Linked DNA regions of Oryzias latipes. The protein of the gene in region 1 interacts with the protein of each later gene in a biochemical or structural test. Links are inferred from orthologs where the notes say so. Each region holds a gene or a part of one and is shown in the gene's direction. Other genes may lie near its edges.

Evidence for each region.
Region 2: the proteins of drd2 (region 1) and ncs1 form a complex in vitro, tested with the Homo sapiens proteins (2 studies listed by BioGRID, with this or other methods). The link is inferred for Oryzias latipes from reciprocal best matches to the Homo sapiens genes DRD2 and NCS1.

The regions. Positions count from the first base shown.
Region 1 is NC_019871.2:15,647,593-15,651,430, reverse strand, and holds part of drd2 (D(2) dopamine receptor), read left to right. Parts: intron 1-2,194; coding exon 2,195-2,331; intron 2,332-3,838. UniProt on the Homo sapiens protein: Dopamine receptor whose activity is mediated by G proteins which inhibit adenylyl cyclase. Positively regulates postnatal regression of retinal hyaloid vessels via suppression of VEGFR2/KDR activity, downstream of OPN5.
Region 2 is NC_019867.2:19,604,278-19,607,020, reverse strand, and holds part of ncs1 (neuronal calcium sensor 1), read left to right. Parts: intron 1-558; coding exon 559-647; intron 648-723; coding exon 724-801; intron 802-2,040; coding exon 2,041-2,139; 3' UTR 2,140-2,148; intron 2,149-2,613; 3' UTR 2,614-2,743. UniProt on the Homo sapiens protein: Neuronal calcium sensor, regulator of G protein-coupled receptor phosphorylation in a calcium dependent manner. Directly regulates GRK1 (RHOK), but not GRK2 to GRK5. Can substitute for calmodulin. Stimulates PI4KB kinase activity.

The DNA.
Region 1 (3,838 bases):
AAAACGCTGCCTCACTTACAGTATCTCATTTTGATGTGAACTGAAGCCTGCAGCACATAACTGTTTCCAGAGGGCTAGTTCAACATCAAAACGGATCTGATCAGTAATGACAAGCATCATTTCTGGTCCACTCGCAGGATGCATGTTCCTTGTTGCTTTGGGCTAAAATTCCCATTGATCAAAAGCAGAGCAGGTAATATACTGGTGCATAAGAAGCTATGCATCAGTCAGTCGAGATGGACTATGATGGAGGTGCATGCAGAACAGCCTCAAAGTTAAAATATAGTGAAAAATGACAGCCAATGTTGTAGGTGTTTACATGTCATGGTTAATGATATATCTTTGGCAGCGCTTTAACCATCAGGTAAACAGCTGAAGTATAATTTACACCCATCCTCTCAGCGTTAAACAAACTGCATTTGGTTAAGTAAACATAGCTACCTCTAGATATAGACCTAGCTTCTAATCTCTTTGTGCTCTAATGTCACTTGAAAATAACATTCTGCCTTTTAAGACTAAGAAAAAAATGTACAAATGCTTTCAAGTTGATAAGCAGAACTAAAACATATGGCGCTAAAAGTTTTTGCACTGCTGACCCAAATCCAGTTTCCAATGAACATCTTTTGCATATTTTAATCAGTTTATCAATTTTAATAAAATAGCAGATATAACCTCAGCATTGTTTGTGAATCTCAGCATCAATTACTAGTTATTAGCTTCAGTACTGTGAGCAAATCGTATCACAAACTTACAAAGAACAGTGAACAGCTGCATTATTTCCCACAAGGTAGAATGAAAATGAAATAATTCTACATTTAGTAAATAAACAGTGCTGTACCTTTGGGTAAAATCTGCAATATCTTGCAAACTACAGCTCCATGGGATAAAGATGAGCCTTCAGGTCCCTGGCACATTGCCGAGCTTCCAGACACTGATTATGAGAAATTTATTTGCTTCAGTCTGCCACCTCTCTTTGCATGTGTTCACTGTTCCCCCATGCTGATTTTGATTTATTAATTTACTATAACAATAAATTATTTTTTTAAATAAGAAAAATTTATAATGATTAAAGGAAAACCCTTGCAGGTAATCACATTGAACTCATTCTAACCATAAACATGGACAACCATTTGTGTTGAATTTCAACTGAACACAGTTCCATTCCCTAAACAGAGTAATGGCAAAAATTGTGTGTTAAAACTTTTAGCCGGATTTATTGTATTTGCACACTATTGTCCTGTCATTTAAGTATGTATGAGGGACCAAGCAGTACAGGACTGTTGGGGACCAGGCAAATGGTAGAACGACACAGGGATGTTTGACAAGGTTGTTTTTTTTAATCCACCCAGAAAATAAATAAAAACAACTTAACTGAAACAACTGGCCTGTAAAAGAGTTAAATTAACATAACAATTGTAATCATTGACTGTACATAAGAACTGGACTGAGTGAGTATGAGTCCCCCCGAGAAAAGGCTTACTTCTGGCTCCAGCAAAATGAAGTTAATTAAGCTACCATTTTTTCGCAATACGGATGCCACCATGTAAATAAGGACATGGCCTAAAAACCTTGCTTTTACCACAAGTCCACTTCCCCCTTTGTCCCTTCTTTTGCGTCTAGAGGAGCACACAGAAACAGCATACAACCCCACATTAGTAATGTGTGCACGCCATCCAACACACGGTCAAATATAGAAATAAAGGCTTTGTTGATTAATGTAAGATAAATCAATGTACCATATGTCTGTTTATGTAACCATGTGAGCACACATTAAAGCACAGATTACTGTTAAAAAACTGCTTTTATTGACCAAGCAAAACAGTATAATGGCTCAAAGCAGTCTTTTAACTGTCAATTTTTCTGTTGACCAATAGTGCACATTATATATATAATATTACCTTTTTATTCAAAAATAATCAGCAATAAAACAGAATATTAAGTTCATCAACAGGCCTAATGGCAGACCTATGATTCATTTAATGCAATTAAACAGAAATATAAGAAACTGAATATGATAATATACTGAACGAATGAGTAGATTTAACAAAGTTCTTGTCTTACTTTGTTCTGCCTGATCCCTTTACCTTGTTGAGTTAGGTAGAGTAAATTCCAGTAAATATGGTTCACGTGGCTTTCCAGGAGGCTGGCACAGTGCGCAACACACTGTAACTGTTTCTTTTTCTACCCTTTTCAGATACACAGCAGTGGCAATGCCAATGCTGTACAACACACGCTATAGTTCCAGGAGAAGAGTCACAGTCATGATCTCTGTGGTCTGGGTTATGTCTTTTGCCATATCATGCCCCTTGTTGTTTGGGCTTAATAACACAGGTAAGAATGTTTGAAATGTACACTCCTTTCACACATTTTCCATTTTCACTTCTTCAAAGCTTCTGAATATAGTAACAGTAAAGGTAAAGTGTCTAAATCAGAGGATTTCATAAAACAAAACAAAAAAAGGGGGACGTTTTTTGTCCTCAAGCGCGATATTACCAAACATCAGCATATAAACATACTTCTTAAAATGCATTAAAATGCATTTTTCTTAAAATGCATGCAAATACCGCTGCACCATGGGCGGCCATGGTGCAGCGGTAGGGCGGTCGACCCATGATCATAAGATTGCAGGTTCGATTCCCGCCTTGCACGCCCATGAGTCGAAGTGTCCTTGGGCAAGACACTGAACCCCAGCTTGCCTCTGGTGGTAGGCGGGCGCCTGTGTTTGGCAGCGGAGCCGCCACCAGTGTGTGAATGTGTGAGTGAATGTGTGTGTGACTGGGTGAATGGGTCTGTGACTGTAAAGCGCTTTGTCCTTGTAGGAAGAAAGGCGCTATACAAGTATACGCCATTTACCATTTATACGCCATTTACTTCTTAAAATAATCCATATGTAGTGACTAATAAGCATTGTAGTTAAAGAAAGTAACTTTAATTTAAGATCTACCCTCTGTCGTTTCATTTAGTTCATTGTCTCAGTTTTTCATGCGATAAATGCAGTCAGGCTAAGTCAATGAAAATTGTAGGAATTGACACTAAAGGACAATTTTTCAGATTATTAAACTTAAAAGTGGTGAAAAAAGACAATGTTAAGCGTCATAGAAAACATATGCGTTCGCCGATTTATCCTTTGTGACTATATTTCTGTGAGACATGAATGGTGAAAAAATGAAACAGCTTTCTTCTTCTACCCCTGCTGGTATCCCTTCAAGTCAGACTGGAGCTTTGCCACAAAACAGGAGCATCAAATTACTCCAGCTACAAGGGCTATTTTGCAATCTGTCTGTGTGTATATAAAGAACAGTTGTAACTCATGTTGGTTTGTTTTCAAAATGATTATTCTTTGTAAAGCATAGAAGTAACATTGAAGCAGACTGTGGTCAGACTCACACAAGAAGCACCTCAAGCTGTGTGGGCAGCTTTCTACAATAAAAATGAAACAACATCCTTTGTTTTTGTGTTTGTTTTTTACAAAAATACGTTTATTCTTTAACATTTCCATTTGAAATTTACAACAAATCATAGAATGATTTTGAATTTTATTTCTTTATTTATTTGTCTATTCATTTTTTAATTTCTTTATTTAATTATTTAAGCAATAATATTTGTAAAAACAAAACAGAAAGAATTTGTCATTGGTTGATAGATGTTTAGAAATGTGTTTCCAATGTTAAAAGTGTAGGGTGTATTGTTCATGCACCTATAGAAGAAATAGTGCATATTTGCACATTTATGAACAGCTGAATTTTAAGGTTGAAAAAAACAATTCCATACCCAGCAACCGAACATCATGATCCATCTTTATCACAGAGAATGTATGATTAAAACAATATAATGGTTG
Region 2 (2,743 bases), on another chromosome or scaffold:
TCAATCAAAGCAGAAAAATGAGTCCAGTATTATAGAATTAAAACAAAAACCTGACCATGATCGAAGATTTATGTAAATATGGCTAAATGATTGTGTTTAAGGAGAAGATTGAGTCACAAGGTCTACAGCCAATCAGGATGCAGAGTGCAAAAAATGTTACGCTTCCCAGCTTGGCAAGCAGGGGGCGGAACACTACTAGAGCACCTATTTATTGATAGAAGATTCATAACACCCCAGGAACTTCAAGAGAAACATAGAACAAATAACTTCTTGGAATATCAGCAACTTAAATCTATTATTACTAAAAAGATAAATACAAAGACAATGACTGCGAAAGCTGAAACGCAATATAGCGAGAGACCAGTGTATACGTCAATCTTTTTTATATTGCAGATAGAAATGTTTTGTTGAGCTTGTAATTAGTCTCTGACTGCCGCAGCAAATGTTTCCACCGAGATATTTCTATTTCTATATATTTTTCTATTTTTATTTCTATTTTACCATATTTTTCTTCATGGAGAGTTATATGTTTTGACATTTTGTCTTTTTTTTCTACAGGGGCTTTTAAATTGTATGACCTCGACAATGACGGCTATATAACTCGTGATGAAATGCTAAACATCGTAGATGCCATATACCAAATGGTGGTAAGTTTAGAAACACATCCCCTCTGTTTACCTGCACTAGCATCACGGTTCACAGTGTAATGATGTGATGTCTAAGGGAAACACTGTGGAATTGCCAGAGGAGGAGAACACACCAGAAAAGCGAGTCGACCGCATTTTTGCAATGATGGACAAGGTTAGTATTGAACTAGACCTGACAAACAGCAAATTAAAGCAGAGAATTGCATCAATTGGTCCGACCTTTTAGAGGTCAGTATGAGCGCTTGACAGCATCAAGTGCAGTATTCATTGAATCACTTGTTTAAGAGTAATAGGACTGAGTGTAGCCTTACTGGCACCCTTGGGGCTCTAATACAGACACTGTTAAACTGAGAGCTCTCTGTAGCCATTTCAGCAGCATCACTTACACCACCTGCACTTATACTCATCTCCACTATTAGCCTTTACTGCCCACTCCATCTGCCCCCAGACTCTTTGCAGCTCTGGTAATAGATGAAACAGTATTGTCATATTAGATCCGCCTGTAGAGCTAACTCTACAGCCTGCACTATTTATTTGTCATTTTGTTAATGGCCAAGGCAGGATTTTTTGGGGAAAAAAAACAAATATATGAGAATAAAGTCGAAAAATGTTTAAAAAAAAAAGTCTAATTTTATGAAGATAAAGTCATAGCCTACAATGCTGAGAAAAAGCTTATTACTGTTCTGAAAAAAAAGTCAAATGATTTCTGAAAAAAGGCAGAATTATCAAGAGATGTCAACAATTTATGAGAATAAGGTAATTAATTTTACAAGGAAAAAGTCTTTTATTTTTGAAAATAAAATAACATTTTTAGCTTTTAAAATGTTTCAACACATTTCGAACATTACCCTTTTAATCAATGTTGCAAACAAATCAGAGAAATTGGATGGAGATCTGCTCCAAAAATCTTGCTGAATTTGCTTTACCTTTGTGTTGTAATAATAATGATAATAATAATACATTTTATTTCAAGCACCTTTCAGGTCACCCAAGGTCACTGTACAAGGTTTAAGAATAAGAAAAAAACAGAATAAAACATCAATTGTAAATATACAACTTTATTTTCATCAAATTCCAACTTTATTTTTGAAAAAGCACAACTTTTTCCGTGCAAAAATTATGACTTTTTAAATCTTAAAATTATTATTTTGTTCTTGAATAATGTAGATTTTTTTTAATTATTGCACAACTTTATTTTTGTCAAGTTTTGGCTTTTTTCTCAGAATGTATGACTATTCTCATGTATTTATGTTCTTTTATGGTTTCACCAAACACTTGTTTTATTTTAGAGATCAGCCAGTTCTACTTCAGACAGAAATCCCTTTTTGCCCTCTGCTGGCATATCTTTGCTAAACATTTTAATCTTGAGGGTCATTTTTGCTCCTCCTTGCAGAATGCAGATGGAAAGCTGACTCTGCAAGAGTTTCAGGAGGGCTCGAAGGCAGACCCCTCCATTGTTCAGGCCCTGTCTCTATATGATGGACTTGTGTAGGAATGGAAGGTGAGTGACAGATTGATGGACTGGTTCATGCATGCTTCTCATTGGGAATGCCATTTCCTAGTCACGCCTGAGTTCAGCTCTAATACACTCTAATGCTTTAAAAAAAAATCAGAAAAGATATTCAGTCCATGTGCTGAAACTCAGGGGTGTAAGCCAATTTCTGCTCTCAGTTTGTTCTTATGAATTATTCAGATGGCCCACTTGTTTTCTGGCAGCTTGATAGTCTTGCAGTGATGAATGAGGAGGGAGACATCCCTATCCTCTCACTGCCTGATGTCATATTCTGGCTGCTGACAATTGTTGCTAACATCCTGCTCAGCGTTTAATCAACTGTGAAGTGAGCTTATAAAGACATGTATCTTCAGTAAAGCTGTTTAGCCATTGTCTACCATGTTATAAGCACTCATGTATGATCACACTTTTCATCATGACTGTTTAAACTAATACAGTCTCTTCTCTTCTCAGATGGGACCATTTAGCATCCTCCTGCTGATAGTCAACAATCCAGCACCATCACCCTGCAGCAGGCGGAAACGCTTACTTAACTTTCATCACCAAGGGAGCGCACTATAAAGCTTTGTCGCATGGCCAAACG